Oryctolagus cuniculus: one gene and its partners. The protein of the gene in region 7 purifies or fractionates together with the protein of the main gene of each other region. This does not show direct contact. Links are inferred from orthologs where the notes say so. Each region holds a gene or a part of one and is shown on either strand. Other genes may lie near its edges. The genes, in order: MED31, MED8, MED20, MED7, MED1, MED26 and CDK8.

Region 1 (4,142 bases), on a different chromosome or scaffold from region 7:
GCTCAAGTATTTGAGTCCCTGCCACCATATGAGAGATGCAAGCTGAGTTCCTGATTCCCAGCTTCTGGCCTGGCGCAGCCATGGCTGCTGTGGGTATTTGGGGAGTGAACCAGCAGATGGGCGACTTCTTTCTCTCCCTCTGTCTGCCTTCCAAATAAAATAATTTTTCAAAAAATTTGAAAAGCTTCACCACTGCTTTCCAACCACCTGGCTAATACTAAGCAAAGTAGTAAGTGCAGCCTTCCGCATTGAAAGGGAATAGGTTTCTGGTCATAATATGCCCCTTGCAAATGTAATTGGCCTTCAAGTCAAAGTGTCTCTGGAACAACTTGAATGGCAAACACACATACACGTAGTTCAAAAAGTTTGTGGAAAAACCTGAATTAAAAGCTTATTTGGATATAAAAAGCTTGTAGTCTATACTTGGTTATTTCATATTACACAATTTTTCAAGAACTTCTGGAAATCCCTTACACATGGACTCCAAAAGTTTTTTGCACCAATACAAACTCGTCTTTTGGATCCATTTTCCATTTACTTTTTGAAGGACCGGCATGTGTACGGAAACAGTTGTGAGTGTGCAGTGTTTTTTAGTTATTGAATGCAAAGCATTTGGGCACAAAGATCGCTGCTGGAAGACACAGTGACATCCTCCACATCTTCCTCACAGGTACTTCTGTGTGATCTTTTATTATCAGTCAATGGCTATGTTGCTGCATGTGAGGACCAGAGTCCTTCAGACCAGAAACCCAGAGAAATGGGGAGACTGGTAGAGAGGAGGTCAAGAAGACTGGGCCAGATGCGGCCGGGCCGCAGACTTCACTGCCAGGAAGGGAGGGCCCCCCAGGTCTAAGGAACAGACAGCATGTTCTAAGCTACAGTTCCCAGGGACCACATCGGCTTCTGGGTAGAAAATCGCGTTGCTTTATTGGCTTTGGGTGAGGTAGTGAGGAAAGAGCAGAAAACAGAGCCAACAGTGAGTGATTTCTGCAGGAATCCAAATTAAGAGGTAGGCAGTGACAACCGAACGCGCAGAACGTGCAGATTCAACATACATTTTTACCAGTGTGAAACTAAGAAGTATTTACGTATCCACGTTTTGGGTTTTAGTAAAACATACATACACCGAGGATTACAAAAAATTAAACTTACTTTAGATACTTGGCATATTCTGGTTCTTTCCAGTACAGCAAGTACTTAAGATAATTAACAAACGCTTTGTCTTTGAAGTAACCTCTTTGAGCAAGAACTGAAAGGCATAAAAAAAAAAACAAAACCTAGGTCAGACGGATGCTTGGACTACCACCAGCCCACAAGTCCTAGTTTGCTCAGTTACAGCTACAGAATTGCTTTAAGTGCAATTCTATTCAATTGAGAATATATAAAAGTAGATACTATTAGGAAATGCAACTCTTGTCAAAAAATCATTAATAGCTATTCAATTTAATTAGGTGAACAACTTACAATTAAGGTAATTTGGGTTGGCTAAACACTGTACAAATTCCAACTCTAACTGAAACCGAAGTCGATTTCCAGCATCATCTAGGAGAGAAGACAGCAAAAATCATCCAAGACAAAGGTCGCTAAATACAACACCGATGGGTCGAAAGGAAACAGCAGCCAGGAAACCTGCGTAATGCTGAGCTACACTTCTGGGAGGCATAATTCCTTAGGAACCTAAGAAAAGGAGAACTCTGATTAAGGCAGCTAGAAACCCCTCTAACGTTGAAGAGAAGTCATCAGAGACAAGGGGAACACAGATGCGGCAGGAGACCTCCCTCGGTGGGTCACTGGAGCCATCTCAGCAGTGAGTGACCGGGTATGGGGTGACAGTCTACCTCCCTGTATTTTATTAATACACTGTAGCTACTGTCGATGGCGGTGAGGAGCTCCGAGTGCGAGCTAGGAGACTGCGGAGCGCCGGAAGACCCCGAATGGCAGCATCAGTGGCAGGATAACGCAAGTTGGTCCAGGGCGCCCCAAACTCATGCAAGCTCCCGCGGAAGCAGACCCAAGTGCTGTCTGGTGACACGACTGTCACTTTCAGCCCCTGTTTATGCTCCTGGTGGTCTTCCTACTTTTGACTGGCTCTATATTACGGTTCGTGGTGAAATAAGCCGTTATTATAGACTGTATCAAATTTATGCCTTGGCAACAAAAAAAATGAAAAGTAGGGGAGGGAACGCGAGTGGGGGGAGGAGGAGAGAGGGAAGTATGGGTCTCCTGGAACTGTACCTATGCAATCTGTTCTCTTTATACTAGTTTTTGTTTTTTTTTTAAAGAAAAGATTCCAGTGCTGTCCCTCAGTCTCACCCACGCTGGGACGAAGGTGGGGTCGCTGAGTGAACAGCAAGCGGGGAGAAAACATGTGCGAAGCCACCAAACTCTGAAAAAGGCAAAGCTGCCGGCACCTTCCCAGATGCTCCAAGAGCCCTCTCGCCTCCCGGGTCCCACTCCAAGCCCCTTCCGTTAGGCCTGAAGGAGGCCCCGGGCAGGCAGGAGAAGGGGTCCGGGCGGAGCGCACGGCTCAGAGCGCGACTCACCTGTCTCCATGGCGACGGCGGCGGCCATAACAAGGAACGACGCGAACTCTCACCAGCTCGGCAGAGACTCTGCCCAGTCTGGCTGGGGAAGTTCCGGAAGCCTCAGCACCCCGCTTCCGGCCCCGGGGCACTGTGGGATACGGGGGCGGGCCCAGCCGCGCTGGGAGGACAGCGGTTCCGCCCATCGCTGCTGGCTCCGCCCGCTCGGGCTCCTGAGCCGGGCGCTGCGGCCCGGGGAGCGCCGTATTTGGAGGTGTTTCACGTCAGCGTGTAGTGGCATTGCCGCCTAGGAGGCAGGTCGCTACTGTGACGTCATTTCTCACCTCGTGACGTAGCGTAGAGGTGTGCTGAGCGGTCCCCTCAACACCTATAGAATGGCCTCGGCCCTTGGGGGAAAGCCGTCCTCACCCCAGTGTGGACACCTCGCCTTCCAGGAAGCGGCGCCCTCGTGCCCTCCCGAGTGCTCAGGGCCTCGTCAAAGCGGCTGGAGGCGAGGCTGCCTACTGTGTCCAGCCGGGTCCCCCAGTCGCCTTTGGCTTCCTGGAGGCAGCCCACATGTCGGTGTGAGAAACAGCCCAGCCGCGGTTCCTGGGTTCCTGCGCGAGCCGCGCCCTGGGCCTCCCCACGCGTGACAAAGCCCGCACGCGGGGCTGACGGGCAAAGAGGCGGAGAGTGGTGGTATAGAGGGATGGACGGGGAAGGCCTTGCTGGTTAGGCCACAGTGGAGCTGAGACCTGTGTGGTGACACCGAGCGCCCCACCCCCACCCGGGGGTCTCAGCGGAGTGCACCCTAGGCCGGAGGAAGAGAAGTGCGAAGGGTGTGTGGGAGCAAGCTTGCAACGTTCCCCGAGAGAAGAAGGGAGAGCTGGGAGCTTCGTGTGTGAGAGGCAGAGAGGGGACGGCAACAGGCAGGACCAGTTTCTAGAGGGCCTTTGAGTCACCACGGGAACTCAGGTTCTAGTCTAACAGGAACACGCTGCATAGTTTTCGGCACAGGACTGACATGATGCAACCGCATTTTTAAAATACCTTCTGCCTTCCGTGTGGGCTGCAGAACAGTTGTTCTCATCCTGGAGGGGGGGGGGAGGATTTTGTCCCCCAGGGGATACTTGGCGATGTTTAAAGACGTTTGTGTTAGGTACAAGGAGTGCTGCTGGCAAGTCGTGGGTAGAGGCCAGGGATCCCAGCACCAAAACCACAGAATCACGGGGCCTAACGTGTCAGTGGTGCCCAGTTGGAGACGCGCTGCAGCTGGGAGAGGAGAGGCCTGGGAGAGGCTCCAGAGGAGGGTGGGAGGCCGTGCCCTCCCCTGGACAGTGTGTGTGTGTGTGTGGGGGGGGGGTGTCTGTTGCTTTTTGACCCTGCCTTGCAGTCAGTGATTTACCCAGCAGGACAAAGGGGTCTTCCAGCAGGCCAGCGATGGCCCAATTGTGTCTACTACTGGGAGCAGAACATCTGCCATTTCCAGTCCATACTCGGGCTCCTACATGTAAAGGCAGGGCAGTGAACCGGGCCATCCCCTGGAATAGGGGCTCAGGCCAGGAGAAGTCATAAAGCCCCAGAGGCTACCATAAAACTGCTGCAACCCAGTCCTTAGAC
Region 2 (4,231 bases), on a different chromosome or scaffold from region 7:
GACCACCTATTTTGGAATCCAGCTCTAATATTTAATACTGTGTAGCTTTGCTACTCATAACATCTCTGAGCCTCAGTCTCCTTAACTGAAAAGGGTGGAGAGGATGAGCTGCCATTGGTAAACCGCTTACAATGGCGGCCGGCATGCAGGTAAGGTATACTATTTGTATTTTTTTTTTTTTTTGACAGGCAGAATTAGACAGTGAGAGAGACACAGAGAAAGGTCTTCCTTCCGTTGGTTCACCCCCCAAATGCCTGCTACGGCCGGCGCTGCACCAATCGGAAGCCAGGAGCCAGGTGCTTTCTCCTGGTCTCCCAGGCGGGTGCAGGGCCCAAGCACTTGGGCCATCCTCCACTGCCTTCCCGAGCCACAGCAGAGAGCTGGACTGGAAGAGGAGCAACCGGGACAGAATCCAGCGCCCCAACTGGGACTAGAACCTGGAGTGCAAGCGCCGCAGGCGGAGGACTCGCCTAGTGAGCCGCGGCGCCGGCCTATTTGCATTCTTACACACATTCCTCACTGTTCCCATCTGTTGGTATGTTCTCCAACAGTGCTGGGCATCTCTACCCAAATCTGGGATTTTATGCTCAGATTTTCTAACTCCAAAAATCTGCTACTCTCAGGCGTATGTACAGCACTTGACCTATCTTACTTTTCAGTTTTCTTTTCTGAAAATGAGAATGGATATTGTGCAAACGTGAATGACACAATGTATGTAAAGTTGCTTGCATGGTCCTTGGCATCTGACAGAGAGAGCTTAAGCCTTTTCTGGCTTCACACACGTGATTCTCACAACAGACTAACAACAAAGAAACAGAATCCAGGAAGTTAAGACTTGCCCCAGGCTTCAGAGAGAGCTAAATAGCAGCGCTAAAATCCGAACTGGGTCTCACTCCGAGCCAAGCCCCCCCCCCCCCCCAATAAAACCAAAGCTGCTTTCCCCATCATGAGTGCTAAAACTAAATTAACTCGTGCTGTTTACTGCACGCCCGTGTCTGAAGACACGCACCGGCTGCTGCCGTCCAGCGCACTGAAACCGCGACAGGAACCAAATCACAGGGTTTATTAACACCACTGTCACTAGGTCAAGTCGGCGACGCGGAAGAGATTTCAGTAAGCACAACAGAGCGAGCGAAGCATTTCTCCTCCAGCCTCCGGAGGAAAGAACGGACTGCGGGGATGCGGGGCTGCAAGGGTCCCTGCCGACGCTACGCGGCCCGGCCGTCGGCCGGCCAGGAGGCCGAGGTCGCGCCTGCCCGCACCGCCCGCTCCTCCCGCTCGGGTCTCAGGGCCCAGCTCTGCGCCCGCCCGCCCCTCACCTCAGGCTCCGGGCGCTCCGAGGCCATCACACAGCCTTCCCGCGCCGGCCCGGGCCAGTGAGGCAGATCCACTGTGACCCCTGACCTGGCTACCTCAGTACCGGGCCGGAACCGGAAGTCGGTGGGCGGGCCAAGCCCCGATTTCCTTGATTGGTGGACAAAACCCTCAGAAACTGGGAAACCGGAAGAGGAAGTGGTTGCGGCTGCCACGGCTGCCGCAATGCAGGTGAGAAGCGGGGTGGGCCTAGTGGCAGCTAGCTGTCTTTGGGTAACGCAGCGAGAGTGGGCTGGCTGCGGAGAGTTAGGAGTTGGACCGAAGAGGAGAGGGCGGAGGCAAGAGGACGCGGGGCCAGGGCAGAGGGGAGACGAGGCCAAGTGGAGAAGCGGCGCGGATGCTACGTGGGGGCGGAGTCCGCTGACAGGGGAGAGACTAGCAAAGTCGGGAGGGCGGAGGCAGCCGCCGCTTGTTTGGGGCTGGGAAAGCATCAGGATGTAGTTTGCGAAAGCCGAGATACAATCCAAGGGAGACGGCCCGAGAGAGACATGAATTGGCTCAAGCCTCAGCCTAGGCTGTTGGATGCAGACGTAACGGCGAATCTGCAATCGGAGAGAAGCCCGAAGGGTGAAGGAATTGTGGGCCGAGCTGGCCAGAAGCTAAGTTGTTATCAACTGAAACCTTGGGTGAAACCCAAGATGATGCTCCTGTCAGGCGCAGTGTGGGGTTGGCATCATTTTTCCCAGTCTGTGCCTGAGAGTTATTAAGACGGAGGAAATGAAGTAAAACGGAAGATACCCCCCCACACCGTGGGAAGGGAATGCCTGCAGACCCCCACTACTTGACATTGCTTGTCATGTGAGCTGGGTGGGTGGTTTTGCTTTTCACTTGTCGCTTTGCTTCTTGGATGGGGCAGTGTTTCAGTAAGTCCTTCTGGGTCAGCTGAGCTTGTGAAAGAGGCACAGGAATATTGGCACAGAAATAAAGGAGAAAGTTGAAACATCACCCACTAAGCACGAATGAGGAGCGAGGGGCAGGGGCGTGCAGAACTAGGGTTCAGAGAAAGCTTCATGTCCAGGCAGATTTCGCAGGGGCTGTGCTGTTGACAAGAACAGGGCAGATTCTAGGACGAAGGAAGCTAGGGCACACGTGCCACAGAAATGTGCATAGGATGATGAATCCCAGGCATTATGTCTGGCAGGAGTTTCTCAACAAGGGAGAGTAGGGCACGTGCAATACAGAGGAAAAGCAGGCCTGGATTTGGAGGTGTGAGAGCGAGAATCAGTTGGTAGGAGGACTTAAGGTCAGGTGAAAGGTCTAAGGGTTGGTGCTGTCTGTAACCCAAATACCAAAGATAGAAAATAACCTGGCTGTCATTCCAGTGAGATCCGGTGTTAGCCAACTGCGGTTGGCATACTCTCTCCGACGCTTTTCAGCCTTCTTCTAAAGGTGTCATGCTCATATCTCTCTGGGTAACCAGCCCATCTCTGTTGGTGCAGAGGGAGGAGAAGCAGTTGGAGGCGTCATTAGATGCACTGCTGAGTCAAGTGGCTGATCTGAAGAACTCACTGGGAAGTTTCATTTACAAGCTGGAGAACGAGTATGACAGGCTAACCTGGTAAGGGTTGCCAGGGCAAACTGGGGAGGGCTCCTGACGAGTAGTTCATCTCTGATGATGTAACCATTTATCAGTTTGCAGATGTCGGGTAATTTGGAAAGAGCTTGGTTTCCCAACATTTAGTAAGTGAAGTTTGGCTGAGGGCCTCCGTGGCAAGGAAGTAGAGAGCGGCCCAGTTTCCCAAGCCACGTTCTTTCTTTCTTTCTTTTTTTTTTTTAATTTTATTTTTATTTATTTGAAAGGTAGAGATATAGACAGAGAGAGACAGAAAGGTCTTCCTTCCGTTGCTTCACTCCCCAAACAGCCACTACAGCCGGCGCTGCGCTGATCCGAAGCTAGGAGCCAGGTGCTTCTCCTGGTCTCCCTTGCGGGTGCAGGGGCCCAAGCACTTGGGCCATCCTCCACTGCCCTCCTGGGCCACAGCAGAGAGCTGGACCGGAAGAGGAGCAACCGGGACTAGAACCTGGTGCCCATATGGGATGCTGGCACCGCAGGTGGAGGATTAACCAAGTGAGCCAAGGCACCGGCCCAGCCACGTTCTTTCTAGCTTTTGATTCTTTTTTTTTTTTTTTTTTTGACAGGCAGAGTGGATAGTGAGAGAGAGAGACAGAGAGAAAGGTCTTCCTTTTGCCGTTGGTTCACCCTCCAGTGGCTGCCACGGCTGGTGCGCTGCGGCCGGCGCACCACGCTGATCCGATGGCAGGAGCCAGCTGCTTCTCCTGGTCTCCCATGGGGTGCAGGGCCCAAGCACTTGGGCCATCCTCCACTGCACTCCCTGGCCACAGCAGAGAGTTAGCCTGGAAGAGGGGCAACCGGGACAGAATCCGGTGCCCCGACCGGGATAGAACCCGGTGTGCCAGCACCGCTAGGTGGAGGATTAGCCTAGTGAGCCGTGGCGCTGGCCGCTTTTGATTCTTACCCTTTTCATCTCTGGTCAGGAGTTCTCTCTCAGTGGGTCTTCCCACTATATCTCAGTCCATGCTGGATCTCTTGCCACTAATGTGGCTGTCTTTTAGATCCAGCCTACTGCTGAAGTATGGCTCCTGTTTCCCGGCAGAAAGGAGGCTTTCACCCAGTTTCTGATTTTTTTTGTCATAGAATAGCCATGGTTCCTGTTTTCCAGTGTTTCTCACCCCATTCAAACAATGAACTGCCTTTTTCTGCCTCCGTCAGGAGCTGAAAGCGTGTCCCTCTTTCCTAACCCCGCATTCCTGTTCCAGGTCTGGGTCCTGCCGAGGCTCGTGATGGGGATGAGTCTTTTGGGGGTCAGTCTCAGTTTTCCTAATCTGAGGACTTGTC
Region 3 (4,064 bases), on a different chromosome or scaffold from region 7:
ACAAATAAGATAAGCTCTGAGAAGTCGGTTAAACAACTCAGAGGTCAAGGCTTCTCCCCTATGAGAAAACAGTCAACATTTTTCAATCATCTCTCCCTCCACTTGGCCCCTAAACAATACTGCTTTTTCTGTTATGAACATTCGGTTTCAGGTCTCAGCTTCCAGGCTGGGCAACTCTGACCCCTACACGAATGCTATCGTTTCCAGAGAAACGAGACTTTCTTTCCCATGGAATTTACTGTTCTAATTGTCTCTCTCTTGGTTTAGACTGTAAGGTCCCGAGCTATATCTTGTTTATTTCTGCACGCAATCCATCAAAACTCCCAGCATCGTGCAAAGCCGGTAGCGAGCATCCCATATTTACAAAACCGTTGGACAAATGCTAGGAGAACTTGGTGGCCTGAGCCATCACTTCCTATTGGCCTAACTTGCGGGACGCGGCGAAAGGAGCACTAAAAACAGGGAGCGGGCCTGCAGGGTTCGGTCTTCCACCTGCCCTGCTCTCGGTAGAGAGCAACGTGCAACCCGGTTTTGAATCCAAGGTACTCCCCTGCCGGACACCTGTGGGCCGTCCACCCCCCAACCCAACTACTGCCTTCCCCGCGGACGCTCACCCAGCCGCGTGGCGCGCTCCCGAGGCTTGGCGGGCCCGTCCCCAGAGCCGTGCTCGGTTTCCAGCTCCTCCTGTTGCTGCCGTGCTTGCTGCAAAATCCGCCGGCTCAGCCGGGGCCCCACATACTCTTCCTCCTCTTCCCCGGTTCCGCGGCCCCGCCGCTTTTCCCGGGCACTTGACCGCACCGCGTTCCCAGCCAGGATCTGCTCGGCCAGGGGCGCGTGTTTTTCCTGAGCCCCAGCCCCACGGGCCGCTTTGAATTTCGGCATTTTTCTCGATAATGCGGCCCGGCAAACTCACACGTGGGTACGGCGACAGCCCAGGATGTGCGCTCGGCAATGAACGCCCAGGTCTGTGCCGAGAGGCCACGCGCTCACAGCGCCCCTACGCGTTCGGAGGCCAGAAAAGCAGCCAGCACCACTGCACTCCCGCAGGGAACTCCCGAGTCCTGGAGCCGGAGCCCGGAACAAATGCATTGCCTTTGACGTTGACGTCTCTAAATGGTGGCAGCCCGGGCCACGCTTTCCTAGCTTTCTGGATCTAGGACCAGGGTGGCCAACCAAACGGAAACTTCCGGAACTGCAAGCCAGGGGAGGGGCTGGGAATCGGGCCGATGACCTCACTGGAGGCGTCACCCAGAGTCGCTGCTGGTGCGTCTAACCGGCGCTCTGTTTTTACGTACTTCCGGAGCCCCTCCCGCGACCCGAGCCTGCGGTAGTTTTTAGTTCTTGTGGGCTTCGGGAGAGCGCTGTTTCGGCTGTGTGGTCGTGCCGCTTTCCAGGCCTGACGCTATGGGAGTGACCTGGTAGGATCACAAAGGGTTTTATGGGGCGGGACTTGGGTCGTGAAGGTCCCTTGAAACCTGGAGGGTCGGGGACTGAAGTCCGCCGTTCTCCGGGAGCTGAGCAAAATGCCCTCGGGCTGCGTGGATGTGGGCACTCTAAGGGCCGTGAGTCTCGGGCCCTAATGGGCCCCATTGCTCCTGGAAGGAAGCAAGGAAAAGGTTTTATCTCAGGAACCTTATGCATGGGTTGTGTACCCTCTTCTCTTTTTCTTGGTACGTCTTGCTACCCTTGAAATCCTAGTAGTGCAGAAAGTGGGACTTCGAGGTCGGAAACAGGGCTTTTCAGACTAGAACCCACCCGCAGGTAGGGTTAAAGCTGATAGGAGATAGGCAACGAGGCGGTGTTTGTGTGTTCGCCTCCCCCTACCTGTAGCCACCCAATAATCAGCCTGTATCTGGTTCTCATTCGGGTCTACAGGATCAAAATGGAAACTACTGGGAATTAGAAGATCAGGTTTCCAGACACTTTACTTCCTCATGACCTGCCTCCTACTACGTTTATACGGTTGATTCAGTTTCAGTGCACTTAAAAAAAAAAAAGATTTATTTATTTGAAAGGCAGAGTTAAAGAAAGGCAGGGGCAGAGAGAGAGCTTCCATCTGCTGGTTCTCTCCCCAAATGGCTGCAATAGCCGGAGCTGGGCCGATCAGGAGCCTGTAGCTTCTTCCAGGTCTCCCATGGGGGTGCAGGGGCCCAAGCACCTGGGCCATCTTCTACTGCTTTCCCAGGCCATGACAGAGAGCTGGATCGGAAGTGGAGCAGCCGGCTCTCAAATCGGCACCCACATGGGATGCCAGCTCTACAAGCAGCTGCTTTACCCTCCACGCCACAGCACTGGCCCCCAATGGACTTTTAAATCTCTGAACATGTTCTCAAACCCAGATGGAAGAGGATGGGGTGGAGGGGAAGGGTATGAACCCAGGGATCTTGGAGACCTTAGTTCCAAGGTGCTGGGTCTCTGCACCTTTTTTCTTCTTCTTCTTTTTTTTTTTTTTTTTAAGTCTTGGTTGTGAGCATCTCATCAGAGAGGCCTGGAGGCCAGGATATCTGAAGCCAGGAGTTATAGGCTTCTCTTTTTTTTCTCTTTTTTGAAAGATTTGAGAGGTAGAGTTACAGACAGTGAGAGGGAGAGACAGAAAGGTCTTCCATCTGCTCGTTCACTCCCCAGATGGCCCCAATGGCTGGAGCTGCGCCAATCCGAAGCGCTTGGGCCATCTTCTGTTGCTTTCCCAGGCCATAGCAGAGAGCTGGATTGGAAGAGGAGGAGCCAAGACTCGAACCGGCACCCATATGGGATACCGGCACCACAAATGGAGGATTAACCTACTGCACCACAGCACTGGCCCCCTAGGCTTCTCTTTTAAAAATAGTTGGGGGTAGAGGGAACACAATTTCTCCCAGTAGCCAGGGGTTTCTGGGGCTTGCACTCTTGTTTCCCCTACCACAACCCTCCCAAGCCCTGCAGAGTGAGGGTGCTGGTGCGGGATGGAGGTGGAAAAGTTGCAGCACAGGGGTTGGGACTGTGTGTAGCAGATTAAGTTACTGCCTGCAGTGCCGGCATCCCTTATGGGCACTGGTTCAAGTCCTGGCTGCTCCACTTCCAATCCAGCTCTCTGTAATGGCCTGGGAAAGCAGTAGAAGATGGCCCAAGACCTTGGGCCCCTGCACCCACGTGGGAGACCTGATGAAGTTCCTGGCTTTGTTGCCGGCCATTCCTGGGGGCGCCCTTATCAACTTTTCCAAAATCCTAGGACCTCTGTCCCTTGTAGCTTCAGGGATTCTCTGAAAGTACTTCAGAAAGTTCACAGAAAGTATGTATTATGAAAAACTATGCAATGTTTTGGCACCAAAATCTTTCTTTTTCTTTTTTGACAGCCAGAGTGGACAGTGAGAGAGAGAGACAGAGAGAGGGAAAGGTCTTCCTTTGCTGTTGGTTCACCCTCCAATGGCCGCCGCAGCCGGCAGCCGGCGCACCGCGCTGATCCGATGGCAGGAGCCAGGTGCTTCTCCTGGTCTCCCATGCGGGTGCAGGGCCCAAGCACTTGGGCCATCCTCCACTGCACTCCCTGGCCACAGCAGAGAGCTGGCCTGGAAGAGGGGCAACCGGGACAGAATCCAGCTCCCCGACTGGGACTAGAACCCAGTGTGCCGGTGCCACTAGGTGGAGGATTAGCCTAGTGAGCCGCGGCGCTGGCTGGCTGGCGGCTTCTATTTCCGCATCTTTACAACGTGAGGGAGGGGTGGGGTCGTAGCTTCTGGCTTGGCTGAGCCACAGTTCTGTGGATAGAATGGCTAAGTGAGTATGTGTGTGTCTGGGTACTGACACTGTGGTTCTCTCCTTCCCAGTGTGTCCCAGATGCCTGTGGCCGAGGGCAAGAGTGTCCAGCAGACCGTGGAGCTCCTCACCCGAAAATTGGAGATGCTTGGGGCAGAGAAGCAAGGAACGTTTTGTGTGGATTGTGAGACTTATCACACGGCTGCCTCTACCCTTGGAAGCCAAGGTCAGTGAGATGGGTATGTAGGACGGCTGGAATGTGCCTTGGAATTCACGGGCATTAATGAGAGTTCCTTATGCTTTTGTGTATTCCAGAACACATGGCAAGATGT
Region 4 (3,865 bases), on a different chromosome or scaffold from region 7:
CAGAACTCCTTGATTAGCTCTGGGCTAAAGTGAAGCTAACCTATGGCATTGCAATCCATCAATACCTCTCCCCTCAATGCGCACACACACACACACACACACACACAAATTTACAAGTAACTGTTGTGACTCTTAACAATGTTAAATGATTTCATTTCTTACATGCAAGGATTTTCAAAGTGGTCCCAAATTGGTTTTGTACCTCAGCCCAACACTCCTCTCACAGCAATGTATTTTTTAAAAAGTCAAAAGAGAAACGGTTGTTGAGTTGTTCAAGAGCCATTTCCATCTTGCTCACTGACCAAGGTATGAGGGAGGAGGTGTGGAACAAATTTAATTTAATTAAGGGAAACCAGAATGTCCTTTGGGGGTCTCTGGTCCCAAGGTCTACACCAAGCATATTCCAGTTGGTAAAAAAAAAAAAAAAAAAAAAAAAACCTTAAATTTGAGACTTGTTAATTAGTTCTTGTCTGCTAGAAGTGTTAATTGGAAACAGCCTCTGTCTGAATGCAAAGAATGCATATTTCACACAGGGAAATTGGCCTGTAACCATTTTACAGTGAGTTGGTGAGACCTTAATGCAGCAAATCCCTATGCTAGTAAACAGGAAATGAGGGAGAAATCAAAAGCACATCACCCAGGAAAAGGCCCATCTCTACAGATGGTAATCTTGAGCATGCATCAGAATTGGAGGAAGGCTTAACACCAAGCTTGCCACGCCCTGTGCACCAGCAAGTTTCTGGTTCAGAAGGTCCAGGGTGGAGCCAGAGGAGCTTGATTTCTAACAAATCCCCAAGTGATGCTAATGCTGCTGGTCCAAAAGGACAATGGAGAACCACTGGCTTCTGTCAGAGAGTAGCAGGCAAAGATCCTGATATGAGGCCAATGGGCGGGAGGGGGAAGGAGGGAGGAGAAAAGAAAGTACAGAAATAAAATCTCAGTACCCAAGACAGTTTATTTCTTGTTCACATTAAGTTAGCTGTAGAAGGAAGAATGGAGTTAAAAGAGGACCTAATCTTCACATTCTAGAACCAAATTACTATAAACTGTTGTCACCAGGCTTGCATGGGTGTGGGCACACACCTAGCCGACTGGGGAACAGAATGGAAGATCGTGCAAGAAATCTTAGGGCACAGACTCCATTTCCCAGAACTTAGTCACATGGCCTCACACAGATATAGGGCAGTAGGGAAATGTGGTCACTGGCTGAACAGTGATATCTCAGCAAGAAGAAGCGCGAATCACTGGTGGACATCGAGCAGTTGCTCCCACCAAACCCTTCTCCCACTGCAGTCTACCAGCCTTGATCATGTCTGAGCTTAGCTTTAAAAATGTGTAATTTCAAAGAATTACAAATATTTTTAAAAATCTGTAATTTCAATCCTCTTAATTACTAAAATCTGTAATCTAAAATTTCTAACTAAGCTGACCAAAGACTTTCTACCCAAGTGACTGAGAAAAACCAATTTATGGGACCTACCAAGGTTCAAGATAAGGAAAAAGAGTCTACTGAGGTAGTAGAGTTACAAGAATCACAAGGAAAAATAAAGTTTTTGTTTCATAACAAATGGGTCTCTTTTAAAATGCTATACTACCTTATGCAGATTAGGTAAATTTTTAAATATTACATAATTTCACATTTTAGAGTATCTATCCCTCATTCTTAAAGCAAATGACAAATTTACTTTTTAAGGATGAAAGTTTGCTATTACCAAGGACACTGTCAAACTTTTACTCCAACTCCAAAAAAAAGAATGCCCCACACATCTGCAGCAAACATTTTCTTTTTCAGGTCACTATTCTTAATTTACGGGTCCCTGTTTGCCTACACTTGTTATATACTGAAATTGCTGCCTATGGCATTACGTAAGTGAAAAAGCTGGAGAGTCAAGAAAAAGGCCATTTAAACTTTTAGTTATTCATTTTAAGACTGCCCAAAAGAAAATAAACCAGTAATATTATACTATTTACCAAAAGGGAAAAAAGAAAACTAACATGAGTCACGGTCTTTCATTCATTTCATCAATTAGGACACACAAGGCAGCATCTTTTTCTATAATCTGGTCCCTTCGATGACCTGAATTTTCTCTTTGCTGCTCACTCTGTCCAGTACAATTGTTGCTATCATCAGCATCCATTGGTTCAGTTTTTACTTTTATTCCTGCTTCTGAGTGGGGTAAATCATCAGGCAAAGAGGCCAAGCAATTCTGAATCATCTCAATCACTCGCTCCAGATGCTTCTGAAACCTCTCGGCTGTTTCAAGCCTCTGTCGTTTCTGGACTTCCATCATAACTCTCAAGGTCTCTCTTGCTTGGTGGGGTCTGTATTCATTTATGAGATGATGCACATGGACAAAAAGCAGCTTAAGATCTTCCAGCTTCTCTTCTCGTTTTATACTCCCAGGGCTCCTTATCAAGATATCTAAAAGGTCCAAGAAATTAATAAGGATAGACATATTGAGTTTCCTCAGTTCTTTCTTGTGATCAAATTGCATAGGATGAAGCCTTTCGATGCCCTGACTTTCCAAAGGGCGGATAATAAGATCATCACATTGGAACTGGTTGCCAAACATCATATAACTGTCTTTGATTGGAGGGGGTGGCTTGGGAGCTAGACCTTCCTGAATATTTTCATCAGTGTATTCCTTGATGTACTGCATAGGAGGTGGAGGAAGTGCACTCACTTGCTGTGGCTCACCCATTGTGGAAGATCAAGCACCTACAAAAACAAACCAAAGATTCACAGAAGAACTACAAAACAAACCTGTCACATTTAGTGTTTACAGACAGAGCACTCCCCTTTTCTTCCGGTAGTTTCAAAGCTAACACTTACAACTCAGAATGGATGCCACCCTTTTCTAATTAAGCACTATATTCTCAACAACCCACATTATTTTTCCTTCCCTGTTAATACTTCTCTCCCAATATCTTGGAGTACCTTTTCATTTATAAAGAAAAGTCTTCTGGATTCTACACCACTTACCTTTTATGTCCCATTTCTCCACATCTCTTTATAGCAAAACTACACATGCTGTCGCCCAAACACATATCACAATCACTTTTTTTTTTAGAAGGTAGATGATTTTAAGATTTACTTTATTGATTTGAAAGGCAGAGTTACAGAGAGAGAAGGAGAAACAGAGATATCTTCCATCTGCCTTTTCATTCCCCAAATAGCTGCTAAGGACTGGGGCTGGGCCGGGGCCATGTAGAATCCAGGAACTTCATCCGGATCTCCTTTGTGAGTGATATGGGTCCAGGCACTTGGGCCATCTTCCACTGCCTTCTCAGGCATATGAGAGGAAGCCAGATAAAATTGGAACAACCAGGACTTAAACCAGTGCCCATATGGGATACTGGTGTTGCAGGGAGCCATTTAACCTGCTGCGCCACAATGCCAGCCCCTACAATCACTTTTACTATTACGAAGTGATTTCCCAAAGTAAATACTTATAACTCAAACATTTTGACAAAATTAACATTACTAAAATCTAGATACCCAGTATCATCCAAGGCTCCTAGATGAAATGATTATCCAAGTCTGTATCTTTTTTCTACATTTTATGCTACAATTTACTAACCTTTCTGTATCTACTATAGAAACTTGAAACCCAAATTCAAACCCACAGCTTCTATGGCCACAATCACTTCTACTTACTCCTTTTTAAACATAGGTATTATCATCCAATCTGAAGATTCTCAAGTGCTCTTTTAAACCGATCTGAACAGTTTTAAGACACACCCCTCCGACGTCAGGAGGCGGCAAGTACCCGTGTGCCTCTGCGGATGCGCACCCCTCGACTTCAGCTGGCATCTTTCCAGGGTCAACTCCCTAAGAGGCATCACTGTCTCACATCCTCTCCAC
Region 5 (4,044 bases), on a different chromosome or scaffold from region 7:
CGACATAAATCAGAAAACATCATTAGAAACTCCTTTATCAAGACCTCGTTTTTCTTGGAAAAGAAACCCCCACACAGCCGAATCTAAGAATTGGCTAAACTACTTTTCGATATAATTTCTTCAAACCACATAAAGAAAATATTTTTAAAGGTGAGAAGACACATACCTTATGGGTCTGATAAAAGGAACACCATAGGACATTCCATTCAAGGTTTTAATGGGAACCCAAAAAGGAACCGAGTCTAATCATGATTCACGACCATGCCTACAACTTAGTGACAGTCATTTTCATAACATGCCTGAAATTTCTGTATAATATTTATAGAGAGCATACATTTGAACATGGTCTTACAATGGTTAGCTGATTTTCAATGTGAAAATACTTCCTTAATTTTTGGCCATAATTTTAAGAGATTGGTTGATAAGTATGATCAAGAAAACAGACCCTAATTGCCTATCTGATGTTTCATATTTTTCCATATAGCTAAAATTATATGGACAGGGAAGAAATCAATAACCAAAAGATGAATTTCCAACAGAGGTTAAGAGAAAGGCAGAAAGGATCAGCTCCTGAACTAAGAATATGAATGAACCTCTTAAACCCTTCGAGCCTCCCCTAGTTCTTGAACTGCCATGTATGAGCGAAGACCTGTGCTGGGGCCACTGGAAAGGAACACAAGATATGCCTGAGGAGGGCCGGCGCCATGGCTCAATAGGCTAATCCTCCGCCTTGCGGCGCCAGCACACCGGGTTCTAGTCCCGGTTGGGGCGCCGGATTCTGTCCCGGTTGCCCCTCTTCCAGGCCAGCTCTCTGCTGTGGCCCGGGAGTGCATTGGAGGATGGCCCAAGTCCTTGAGCCCTACACCCGCATGGGAGACCAGGTAAAGCACCTGGCTCCTGGCTTCGGATCAGCGCAATGCGCCGGCCGCAGCGTGCCAGCTGCGGCGGCCATTGCAGGGTGAGCCAACGGCAAAAGGAAGACCTCTCTCTCTCTGTCCACTCTGCCTGTTAAAAATAATAATAATAATAATAATAATAATAACAAGATATGCCTGAGGTGACATCTGTGAGGCAGTGTGATCAAGTTAACATGGGAATTACCATTGGTGCAAAAAGAAATGCTCTTAAAAGCAGAGACATTACTACTGAATAGCAAAGAAGGAAAAGTACATAATCAATATGGAGACATTAAAAAAAAAAAACAGACTGTTGACACTGGCACTGAAAAATAAATAGAAGGTCAGAGTTAAGGCAGCAAGATGATCTCAGTCAAGACTCAGACTCCTTCCTTCACGCCTTCATCTTCTGGAAAACTGGTTTGTAGGCTGCTTCAGCCAGCTGATTGCTCTGGGCACATTCCTATTTCCCACTATCAAGCCATTCATTCAAGCACAATTGTATGTGCTGCAGACACAGTAGTAAGCAAACCATACAAAACTCCTGCCTGATGGTGTTTCCACTTTACACCCAAGGGACACACATTTCTTCTCCTTCAAATCACACCCCTTTTTTTTCTTGAGAAGCATTCTGTAAAACGTCCTTAGTCTGAAACTCAAATCAAACATTTTCTGAGCAACTACTATGTGCCAGAGATTATACAGAGATGAATAAGGGAGCCGGTGTTGTAGTATCGCGGGTGAAGTCACCACCTGGGATGCTGACAACTCATATGGGCAAAGGTTCAAGGCCCAGCTGCTCCGCTTCCAATCCAGCTCCCTGATGGTGCACCTGGGACAGCTGCGGAGGATGGCCTCAGAGAGTGGCCCCCTGCACGCATATGGGAGACGCTGGGGAGGCTCCTGGCTTCGGCCTAGCCCAGCTCCAACTATTGCGGTCATTTGGGGAGTGAACCAGCAGGTAGAAGATTTTTCTCTCTCTGTAACTCTGCCTTTCAAATAAATACATCTTTAAAAAAAAAAAAAATGAATAGGGCAGCCCCCTGATCTACAAAGCTCAGAACAAACTGGAAGGATGAACAATGATAATAAAGTAAGCTGTGATTGAAAGTGCAGTGTGGAACTCCAGAGAATCGGAGTAAAAATTTCCATAGAAAAAGTCGTTTTCAACAGTTCTAAATCAGTCCGGCCACCGATGGGAACACTGTGACTTTTAGGAAGTGCAGGCATTTTGTATCCTCAGGACCAAATCACATCATTCACATCAAAATACTCTCCAGTACTTTTAGATACACGGTTCCGTATGGCTGTTTTTAGGCCATTATTCAATGGTCTCTTCCGGAATGAGTTGCAAACAGCTAATATATTCACTCGCCTGATCTTCCACCACTTTAGGCTAAAAGTGCCCAGAAGCCCCAGGTACTGTCTCTATATAAAAAGGAAATCTTCACCCAAGTTGGGAGCCCCCACCACCCTAAGTCAGCGCTCTATCACCATCAAGGAAGGCATGATGAGCATCTAAGACACACACATCCCGCATCCTGGACTCAGTGCCCCCGCGAAAGCGGCCCCCACGGGGCATCGGCCCCCACCTCCTCGCCCAGATTGGCTGCCCCCAGTTGAGTCCCGCCCCCTCCTTTCCCCCACTGTCACTCACCCTCGGTTTCCCCCTGAGCCTTCATCCTGACGACGGGCAGGGCCTGGGTCCGCCACAAGAGGAGAAGCCCGTTCCTTCCACTAATGGGAGAGCCACGTTAGTTCGGGCTCCCGGGACGCAGGGCACCAACAGTCCCTACTCTTCCCGGGAAGGCTCAGTCTGAAGTCCCCGGTGGCAAGAAGAGAAGGGTGCCTGCGGCCGCCGCCATCTTCCCCAACGGAACTTCCTAAAGCTCGCGAGATAAACCGTGATCCTGCGCGAGAAAGGAAGCGACGGGATACTGAAGTCTCGCGAGAGGTGAATGACGTACTTCCGCGAGATTTCTTCCAAATCCGGCTGTCTCTTAGCTCTTGGGTACTTCGTTCTGAACTTGCGAGCAGGTAGAGTTCGGTTGTTGTACGAAAACTTGCATTTTCATTTTAGCCGTTAGTTTGGAAACTAAACCCACAGAACCCCTTTTTTTTTACAGGCTAGATTTTCAAAGAATACTGGTATCTGAAATGTTTTATCAAATACAGTAGAGTTTCCCTTATATGCTAGATGCAGTAAAACTGTCATAAAAACACTGGCTCTTTGTAACACGACATTTGAAGGCTGCCTAGGACACTTAATTACCATTTTCTAATATTTTTTAAGTTTCAGGAATATTTCTTGAGCAGTTGCAGCAGTTTTGAAAATCTGAAGTGCTTTGGATTAAAATAAACTTGTTCTCAGCAGCAAGTGCATGTTATCACTGTGTCTTGGTGGAAACATGCAGTTTAGCTTGTATCTCCACTGCAGATCACAGTGTGTAGTCTTCTCTCTTGTGTCAATAAATCCTCATGAAGAGAAATCCATAGCAATGCTGGCAAGTGCATGGCCACTGGAGCTTAAAGGCTACTTTTAAAAAGAATTTTCTCATATACATCCTTCAAAAATGCGGCTGGAAAGTAGGATCTTACCTAGTTTTCTGCAAGAATATTAAGCAATGAATTTCTTTTTTATTTTTAAGATTTATTTATTTGAAAGGTAGAGTTACAGAAGCAGAGAGAGAGGTCTCCCATCTGCTGGTTCACTCCCCAAATGTCCACAACTGCTGGACCTAGCCAATCCAAAGCAGGAACCTGAAGCTTCTTCCAAGTCCCCCTGCTGCCCTCCCCCCCCCTCCACGGGTGCAGGGGCCCAAGGACTTGGGCCATCTTCTGCTTAAGCAATGAATTTCTACTGACTGTAGTCTCAGATTTTTTCCACATTTAAAAAATAGCATTCACATATCCAGAGCCATCTCAGCAAATAACTGCAATTCAACTGAGTAGGCACAGCAGTATAAATTTGATAAAAAAAAAAAAAAATAACCTGGCAACTTGTTTCTTTACTGCCACAAAGGTAATTATAACATTCCCTTGAAAATAGGATTACACTTTTATTGTTTTTTTCCTCTTATCGTCATTCTTTGGAGTCATATTATACATAGTGAATTTCGTAGGGGCAGAAATGGCCCCGTGTTACTGA
Region 6 (4,014 bases), on a different chromosome or scaffold from region 7:
CCTCTGCAGATCTCTCTACCCGCTGGGGAGGAGGCCAGGCTCCTGGGGTTCCACCTACAAAGCCAGGTCAGGTAGAGAGGGGTGCGTGCCCCTGAACACCAGCGGAACATTCCAGAGCAGTCAGGCCCCCACCCCCAGCAATGCAGTGCCGGCCCCCCACGAAGGCGGGCAGGACATGGAAGGTCCCTGATCCAACAGCCCTGCAGAGCCCAACACGGCCACTCTGTCCCAGGGGACACCGAGCACCCAGCCGTGCGGGGCCCTGAGGAGCAAGAGGCGAGCTGGCCACGGGAAACCTGCCTCGCCTACCACACCATACCCCTCCAGTGGCCTCCCACCGTCAGTGAAGGGAGCCTGTGGCTGACAGGGGCTCTGGCGGCCAGGACGGACCACCAGGGCAAGGCCGAGAGGGGACAGACACGGGGGGCGCGGGCTGGCTCCCACACACTCTGTCTCCCACCAGCCTTCGCTGCTGCCGCGCCCCAGGTCTCGGTCGCTCCCGGAGCCGTGGAGAAATGTGCCTGATCCGAATGCCAGCACAGGCGCTGCCCCCGAGGCAGCCTAAGGCGGCTCTGCCGACACCGCCCACGGCACACAGGGCGCTGGGGGCCCGCAGCTTCTTCCTGGGGATTCATTCCCAGGCCAAACACCTCCCCACCCTCTGCCAAGTGGCTTTCGGAGAAGGGAGGAGTTGGCAGGGACTGCGGCCTCTTAGGTTTGTCAGGGCTCCCCGAGCAGATGCACATCACTGCTTTCCTCGAAGCAGAGAAGCCGGTGCCGGCCCAGTTCCACCAAGGGGCCGTCCCGATCACCACCACCACCATGTTGGCCTGGAGTGGGAGGGGGCCCTGAGGTGCCCACCCCGAGGGCTCTCGGGCAGCAGTCCCAGGGGTGCTGTGGACTGTCACACGGGATCCTGGCCTGGAGAGCACTCGGGGCCGACAGGAAAGGACACACCGGCCAGCCCGTGTCTCTGGGGTCTCACAGACACGAGTGGGGACGCCTGGTCTTGGGCTGGAGGGTCAAGGCGGGCGGAACTAGCAGGGAGAGGTGACCTGCTATCTAGGTGAGGGTGGCCAGCCGGACGTGCGGCATGCATGCCGGGCGCTCGAGGCTCTCCCGTGCCCGCGCCACCGAGACCCAAGCGCAGGCGCGGACGCCCCAGGAGACCTGAGGCTTCCTGCACAGGTGTGGCCAGCACGTCTCACAGCCGACACGCGAAGGAAGCGGGGCCGGACCCACACAGGGGAGCGCCCACAGGGAGCCCGGGGCCCAGGAGCGCTGCCCCTCTCCCGGGGATGGGACGGCAGCAGAGCGGACTGGCTCCACGTGCTGTCCACCCAACAGGACGCGGAGCAGACTCCTCTCTGCTTTGATGTCTGAAATTTGCCGAAGATAACAAATGTATATACACGACAAATCACACCTGATCTGTTAACACCGGACGGAAGGTCTCGGCTCCAGACGACTGGCAGGCACTCAGGTGAGGGAGCACAGACCCGATGGCAGCCCCTCCGCGGCGTGTGGCTCCACCATCTGCCACCAGTGCGGGGAGGGGGCCGTGCTGGCCTAACCTCTGCTCCAAAGGACACGGCCCCTCCATCTGCTGAGCCCCCCGGAGCTCCTCGCCGGGCCTCCCGCAGGCTGCGGGTCTGCCGCCCGCCAGTCCCAGCACAGAAACGGCCTGCGTGCCTGAGCCAGAAGGCAGGGCTGAGCGCTCGGCCCGCGGCCTGACTCAAGCTTCTCCCTTAGCGGGAGCCCAGGATGGCTACGGCCACAGAGAGGGCAGGTGCACGGGCAGCCGAGACCAGCCAGCAGGCAGGAGGGGTGTTCCAGGTCTGTCACACGAGGGTGAGGACATGGGCAAAAGCCCTTGCCCGTCTCCATAGGTGGAGAGGACACCGCCGCACCCGTGCGGGAGCAGCCGGGAGCCAGGCACATGGTGCAGAGTCCACAGCTGGGTCACAGGCCGTGGCCGCTCTGCCTTGTGGCCACCCTCACGCCCCCAGGAGCCCAGACCGCCGTCCGAGTCGCACTGCCGCGGGGCTGTGAGGGCACCTGCAGCCCAGGCGGCCTCGGCAAAGCCGCACCTGGGGAAGCGGGGCTGCGCCTGCAGCGCCCGAGCAACGCTGCCCGCGGGGGATTTCCAGCCCTGAGCAGAAACGAGGAACTGAGACACGCGGCCGTGCAGTCGGAGAGGTCCCTCCGCTCCCAGCCCCGTCTCCACCTCGGGGAGGGCCCTCTCCGGCCTGCAGCTGGCGGTGTGCCACGCTCCCTCAGGCCTGAGCCCTGAGCCTGCCCCGGCCCGGCGGGCTGCACAGGAGCCCACATCTCTCAGTGCTCACCCCCACGCCCCCATTTCCAGGTAAAGAAACAGATGGCCCAAGGAGAAAGACCACCCAGCTAGAAGGCTGCACAGGCCCCGCCCGCCAGCCTGAAGGGACAGTGGCATCAGACTCTGACCCTCCCCAGCAGGAAATGCACAGTTTCCAGAACGTTCCTCGAAACCACAGGGCCACCTCCAGATGGCCCTGGTGCTGCTTCTGTGCTCTCCCCAGGCCGCACGGGGTCTCCAGCCCACACTCAACGCTGAGCCAAGGGCCCATCCACAGCCCTGGAGCCTGCTCCGCGCCGTGCTGGCCCGATGACTCCCCGTCTGGCCACCCTTCCAACGCCCCAGGCAGTGGGCAGTACCCCCCTCCCGGGGCTGCGGCCCCAAAGCACCTGCGCAAACGGGTTCCCCCGAATCTAACAGTGTGGACACTGCTGCTGGTTTATTATTAGTTTTAAAGGCAGAACTGGTCTAGACAGAATTTACAAAACCACTTACTCGCAAAGCTCTGGAAGTGCTCATCAGGGAGCAAGCCGTCGCTCCCATTCCACGCCCAAGCACAGCCTGCGTGGTGCTGGGCAGGAGGCCGCCTGCACAGGGCTGGGCATGCGCCGTGTGTGCGCGGACACGGGAAGGAAGCGGGCCCCGCTGGTGCACGCGTGTGTGCTCTGGTCCAGCCGTGCTCTTCAGCCCAAGTCTTCCTGCTTCTGACAAACCCCACGAGTCCCCAGGCAGCTCCCTCTGCTGCAAGTCACTGCAAGGAGGGGCGGCCCCTGCGGCCCCCACACAGCCCAGCGCTGCCCGCTCCCGCCTCCTCCACAGCCCCCCCCCCCCCCCCCGCCGCCCCGGGAGCCTCAAACCCACAGGGGCAGAGTCCCTCATTACGGCTTCCCAGAGGAAGAACAGCCCGGCTGGGGGGGGGGGGGGGGATATCCCAGTCACAGCCACCAAGTGACCACCTGCAAAAGCACTTCCTCACTGGCGGGCCGGCCTGCTGCCCCCGGAGTATCAGCCCTCTGGGCGGCCTGTCGGCGTCCCTGGGGTGACGACCCTGTGCACTGAGCTCCTGCCACGGGCAGCAACGGGCCGAGCACAAAATCGCACTTGGAACCTTGGTCGGGGACAGAAGCACCAGCCTGGGTGCGGGCAGCGGGCGGAGGCCTGGCTGCTCCCCACGAGTCGCCCAGAAATGGGAAGCTGCTGCGGCAGCGGTGGAGGTTCCCAGGCGTGCAAACGCACGGTGGCCCTGGGAGGAGAGCTACGGCAGGCCTCAGGTGGGAGCTCCGCTCAGCAGAGGGCGGCGGCTCTGCGCTCCGCAGCCACCGCCCGCCCCGACCCTCCTCGCTTCCCGCCCACTTCACGTCTGCACAGCTCCTCCCGGCCCAAGGCCCACTGGCTCACACAGCCCCTGGACTCAGAATCCTGATCTCGGCCCTCTGGGGGCAGAGCAGGTCTCAGAATGTCACCTGCAAGCTGCTTCCTTTCCGACGTGGACACAACTGGAGCGCGAGCAAGCGAGCGAGGCAGCCACACCGAGGCCTTCACCTCTGCCCTCTGTGAGGACACTGGGCCGGCGGCAACTCCCCCTCTCCCAGAAACCGCTAATAAGAATGCCAGCTACAGGAGATTGCACAGGACCTGGGGCCCGCGAGAGGGGACCCGCACACAGCGCTGAGCCGGCT
Region 7 (4,204 bases):
TTGATCAACTTATTATAAAAGATTAAACTGCCAGAAACTTTATTTTACCAGGACTAAAATGTATTAAATTACATTTTACTGACATAAGATCAAAAGAACCTCATAACTACAATCTGGTATTTTACCAGAGTCAGGTTATAAAAAGAAGCCAAACCAAGAACTATTCCCTCTGGAAAACAAACTGCTTTAAGCAATTTTTTTATATATATTTTTTTTTATTTGACAGGCAGAGTTAGACAGTGAGAAAGAGAGAGACAGAGAAAGGTCTTCCTTCTGTTGGTTCACCCTCCAAATGGCTGCCACGGCCGGAGCTAGGCCGATCTGAAGCCAGGAGGCAGGTGCTTCCTCCTGGTCTCCCATGCAGGTGCAGGGCCCAAGCACATGGGCCATCCTCCACTGTCTTCCCGGGCCACAGCAGAGAGCTGGACTGGAAGAGGAGCAACCGGGACTAGAACCCAGCACCCATATGGGATGCCGGCGCTGCAGGCAGAGGATTAACCAAGTCAGCCATGGCGCCGGCCCCTGTTTTAAGCAATTTTAAAACTCTCTTGACATTTGATCCATTAAAAAAAAGTTCATCATATAAACAGAATCATTAAAGGATGCTGAAAAACAAACCCAAAGGATTACAAATAAAAACTTTTCCCAAATGCAATGTTACTGGTTCAACCATCACAAATAACTAATAAATGTTTCTACACAATACACCAGCTTTTTAAAAAATAATTTACTATTTTTAAATTCTTTTCAAATTATTCTTAACAGGCTAAAATAAAATGACCATTAAGATATAAAATAACAAAATAACAGTACTTCCTACCAACACACAATATTAGTTTTTAAATAAAATCTGAATTACAACAAATTTGCATATTTTATTAGCTTAAAGTGGGAATTTATGAAAATAGAGCTGGCTTCTCAAAGGTATTAAAACTAATTTAAAGTCACTAGAATTTTATAAAACAGACAACAAATTGGCCAAATGTACTACCATGTCTAATCTTCTGGGATTGGAGATTGTATGAATATGCCCAAAGTTACATAATATTGGGGGGTGGGGAGATGGTTGATGGCCTTTCAAAAATGTATGGTAAATTAATAAGGATAATTTCTAAAATATATGTCATAACAGAGTAAAACTTCAATGAGAAATCTAATTAGACAACACCAGAGTCAGCAGTATCTCCAGACACTGATTTCTCAAATGTCACCAGACTATCCATTACGCTAAAAAGTACCTTTAAATGCACGTAGACCCAGAGCAGCAAGTTTTCAAATCCTTACCTTTTGTGGACATCTGTACTACTTTACTACTGCATCAAAGCACTGAAATACATGCTCCAACTTAATTAGAACTACTATCTTTCTCCTGGGCTCCATTTTAATATTTTTTCAAAAGACACTTCATTCAATAAACCGAAGAAATAGAATGAGTACATATACATTTCCTTTTCCAACATCCAGAATATTAAAGTATTTCTAAATACGGCCTCCCCCTACTCTCCCAGAGAACTTGCTTCAGCTTTATGAATGGTTTCACGTTTTTTAGTGCTAATGTATTTCTGAACATCTGAACATCCCCTCCTACCTAATTTGAAAAAATAAAATTACTTTCAACATCCAACAGCAGCCATGCAAGTAAAGCTATTTTGTTTCCAATAAAACCCAAAGATTATATAATAAGCTATGACATTACCTTCCCAACAATGTTTCCCAATATCTCCTACAGAGACAACATCCATTTTCACAAGAGGAAAACAAGTAGTGAATAAAATATATTTCCTCCCCAACTAAGAACTGCCTTCTCTTTTGTCAATATTACAACACATTCACCTACTGACAAAGGAAAAAGGAACACTTCACTAGCCTATTAGGAAACTAAACTGGGAGCATTACCAGTCAGAGATTTAATTGAGTTATTTCTAGGGAAGAATATTTAAAGCAGAGATTATTTAAAGCACACAGTCAGGTGCTAAATGTTGGGGAAACAGCCGGCACAAGGCAGCCCCTATTTGTCACTTGTCTTTTTCCCCACTACCCACCCTGCACCAAACCCCCATTGTTCTAGGTAAAAACTCACAGCTAATGATACCCAAATAGCAACTGCTACATCTGTGTGGCCGATGGTCACGAGGAACGCTCCAGAACCATACTGACTTGCTGCCTTCTTCCCCACAAATAAAACCCCAATTTGATCATAAATTGGTCACAAACTGGTGGGGGAAAGGCTCGCAGCTTCCCTTGCAGACTCACGGATGTCATTCCAGAGTCGGCTGAGCCAAGCCCCAGAACAGTACCATCATCAACCGACCGACCGGAGGAAAAGAAAGCACTGCAAGTGCGCTTTACAAGCGCATTTACAAGAGGGAGGAAAAAATCCAGGACCGAAACCCTCGGAAAGTATCCAGTCCACTGGGCAGAGGCTCCTGTCCCCACCGAGCACCCCAGCACAACGCAGATGCAGCACGCAGGCTTTCCGGTGGGCTCGCAGCCCTCGTCCACCACTGCCTCCCCAACACCGGCTGGCGGGGACACCTGCGGGCGTCGAGGGAGTCAGCGCCCCGCACCCCGGCGGCCGACTCTCCCTCGGGGCTACCTGCCTCGGCCTGCGGGAGCGCCGCCCGGCACGCGCGCGCGCGCGCACACACACACACGCACACACTCACACTCACCCATCTTTCCTCTTGGCTTTGTAGACGTGACCATAAGTGCCTCGGCCAACTTTGCAGCCCTCGTATTCAAACAGGTCCTCGACCCGCTCCCGCTCGCTGCTCAGCTTCACTTTAAAGTCATAGTCCATTGTCACAGCCTCCGAGGCCGGAGAGCTGGGTCGGGGGGCCGGGGGCCGGGGTGGGGACCGGGGAAGCACGGGCAGCCGCAAGCCCCCGGGAACCCGCCCGCTCTACGCCCGCCGGCCGCAGCACCAGCGCGACGGATGCGGCAGCAGCAGGAGGAGGCCGCGCGAGAGCGCCGGGGACATCCAGGAGGGCAGCGGGGCAGAGGCCGGCCGGGGTGGGGAGGTTCCCCCCGGGCGAAGGAGAGCCGAGGGACGACGGCGGGGGGTGGGGAGCGGGTGTCTCTGCCCTTGTCCCCGCGGGCTCCGCGGGCGCCGGCTCCGCTGCTCTCTCCGGCCGCGCGTGTCCTGCTCCCGCTGCGGTGGGAGCGGCGGGGCGGCCGCGGTGGGCTCTGCTTCTCTCACACGCGCACTCACGCCTCACCCTCTCTCTCTCACACACACACGCTCACACTCACTCACTCACTCACTCTCCCATACACTCCAACAGAAAGGCAGCGCCGCACAACAGCCGGTACCTCCTCAGAGAGAGGAGGAGGGAGGGCACCCGCGGAACACGGCCGCGGCTGTCGCAAAAGCGTCGCGAAGCCTGGGGCAGCCTCGGGCCCCGACTCCAGCCGGCTCCCGCGGCGGCTGGCAGTACCTGCTGGCGCCCGCACCCCGAGGGCACTGAGGAAGGGAGCCGGGGAGCCACTGCCCAAAGCTGCCGCCAAACGTACCACGTGGATGGGCGCCCGCGGTGGCCCGGCCCCAGACTACAACGCCCAGAATGCTTGGGCCGCCGCTGTGCCGCCCCTTTACGGCTCCACCCCGCACGGTGGGAATATGGAGTGTTGCGTGATGGGATTAGTAGTCCGAGACGAGATTAGTTTCATTCACTTAAAGGGATAAAAAAAAAAAAAATGTTTTCTTCTTTTTCTTTTTCTTTTTCTTTTTCTTACAGTGGTATTACTGGAGTCCGAGTTGAACCAAAACTGGACTCAAGAGGCTCACGTACGAGGGAAGCTAAAGAATATTACACTTATATTCTGTGTCTCTTCTGAACTCCGGAGATTAAAGAACATCATCTTTATCGGACGAATGCTATTTGTAAACAGCGCCCTGGCAGCCACTGGAGACACTCGTGGCGGTACCAGTCCGATAAGGGGCCGCGCAGTGGTATCAACGTACCGGCATTCACTGGAAACCTAGAATGCGCTGATGGGAAAGCGAACCAATAACGAGCGTCCACACTGCTCCTGGACGCTGTTGCCCTAGTCCCGGACGGCTCTCACGGTCCTTCCCGTCCATTCAGAGGCGACGCTATTTTGAGTATGGCCTTTTGTACTGCTGCCCTTAAAGCACCAGTTTGGGGGTATAATTACTAGGTCTAAATCCACAGACGTTCGTTTGCTGATCATTTTAAGGTAG

Evidence for each region.
Region 1: the proteins of CDK8 (region 7) and MED31 purify together in Homo sapiens (affinity purification with mass spectrometry; 7 studies listed by BioGRID and IntAct, with this or other methods). This does not show direct contact. The link is inferred for Oryctolagus cuniculus from reciprocal best matches to the Homo sapiens genes CDK8 and MED31.
Region 2: the proteins of CDK8 (region 7) and MED8 purify together in Homo sapiens (affinity purification with mass spectrometry; 7 studies listed by BioGRID and IntAct, counting the BioPlex papers as one, with this or other methods). This does not show direct contact. The link is inferred for Oryctolagus cuniculus from reciprocal best matches to the Homo sapiens genes CDK8 and MED8.
Region 3: the proteins of CDK8 (region 7) and MED20 purify together in Homo sapiens (affinity purification with mass spectrometry; 8 studies listed by BioGRID and IntAct, counting the BioPlex papers as one, with this or other methods). This does not show direct contact. The link is inferred for Oryctolagus cuniculus from reciprocal best matches to the Homo sapiens genes CDK8 and MED20.
Region 4: the proteins of CDK8 (region 7) and MED7 purify together in Homo sapiens (affinity purification with mass spectrometry; 7 studies listed by BioGRID and IntAct, counting the BioPlex papers as one, with this or other methods). This does not show direct contact. The link is inferred for Oryctolagus cuniculus from reciprocal best matches to the Homo sapiens genes CDK8 and MED7.
Region 5: the proteins of CDK8 (region 7) and MED1 purify together in Homo sapiens (affinity purification with mass spectrometry; 14 studies listed by BioGRID and IntAct, counting the BioPlex papers as one, with this or other methods). This does not show direct contact. The link is inferred for Oryctolagus cuniculus from reciprocal best matches to the Homo sapiens genes CDK8 and MED1.
Region 6: the proteins of CDK8 (region 7) and MED26 purify together in Homo sapiens (affinity purification with mass spectrometry; 5 studies listed by BioGRID and IntAct, with this or other methods). This does not show direct contact. The link is inferred for Oryctolagus cuniculus from reciprocal best matches to the Homo sapiens genes CDK8 and MED26.

Annotation. Positions count from the first base shown.
Region 1 is NC_091448.1:49,926,626-49,930,767, reverse strand, and holds the start of MED31 (mediator of RNA polymerase II transcription subunit 31), read right to left. Parts: upstream 2,801-4,142; 5' UTR 2,572-2,800; coding exon 2,544-2,571; intron 1,543-2,543; coding exon 1,465-1,542; intron 1,250-1,464; coding exon 1,153-1,249; intron 1-1,152. UniProt on the Homo sapiens protein: Component of the Mediator complex, a coactivator involved in the regulated transcription of nearly all RNA polymerase II-dependent genes.
Region 2 is NC_091438.1:129,634,518-129,638,748, forward strand, and holds the start of MED8 (mediator of RNA polymerase II transcription subunit 8), read left to right. Parts: upstream 1-1,431; 5' UTR 1,432-1,539; coding exon 1,540-1,545; intron 1,546-2,794; exon of another isoform or gene 2,795-2,813; coding exon 2,814-2,932; intron 2,933-4,231. Other genes in the region: KICSTOR complex protein SZT2, read right to left, coding at 1,320-1,346. UniProt on the Homo sapiens protein: Component of the Mediator complex, a coactivator involved in the regulated transcription of nearly all RNA polymerase II-dependent genes.
Region 3 is NC_091436.1:127,988,594-127,992,657, forward strand, and holds the start of MED20 (mediator of RNA polymerase II transcription subunit 20), read left to right. Parts: upstream 1-1,264; 5' UTR 1,265-1,404; coding exon 1,405-1,418; intron 1,419-3,803; coding exon 3,804-3,958; intron 3,959-4,064. Other genes in the region: BYSL (bystin), read right to left, coding at 615-882. UniProt on the Homo sapiens protein: Component of the Mediator complex, a coactivator involved in the regulated transcription of nearly all RNA polymerase II-dependent genes.
Region 4 is NC_091437.1:44,110,628-44,114,492, forward strand, and holds the start of MED7 (mediator of RNA polymerase II transcription subunit 7), read right to left. Parts: upstream 2,703-3,865; coding exon 2,001-2,702; 3' UTR 1,996-2,000; intron 1-1,995. UniProt on the Homo sapiens protein: Component of the Mediator complex, a coactivator involved in the regulated transcription of nearly all RNA polymerase II-dependent genes.
Region 5 is NC_091448.1:22,905,989-22,910,032, reverse strand, and holds the start of MED1 (mediator of RNA polymerase II transcription subunit 1), read right to left. Parts: upstream 2,801-4,044; 5' UTR 2,579-2,800; coding exon 2,554-2,578; intron 1-2,553. UniProt on the Homo sapiens protein: Component of the Mediator complex, a coactivator involved in the regulated transcription of nearly all RNA polymerase II-dependent genes.
Region 6 is NC_091447.1:64,938,934-64,942,947, forward strand, and holds the start of MED26 (mediator of RNA polymerase II transcription subunit 26), read right to left. Parts: upstream 2,801-4,014; 5' UTR 111-2,800; coding exon 1-110. UniProt on the Homo sapiens protein: Component of the Mediator complex, a coactivator involved in the regulated transcription of nearly all RNA polymerase II-dependent genes.
Region 7 is NC_091440.1:96,555,484-96,559,687, reverse strand, and holds the start of CDK8 (cyclin-dependent kinase 8), read right to left. Parts: upstream 2,801-4,204; coding exon 2,673-2,800; coding exon of another isoform or gene 2,459-2,672; intron 1-2,458. Other genes in the region: collagen alpha-1(I) chain-like, read left to right, coding at 2,459-3,611, 3,738-3,985.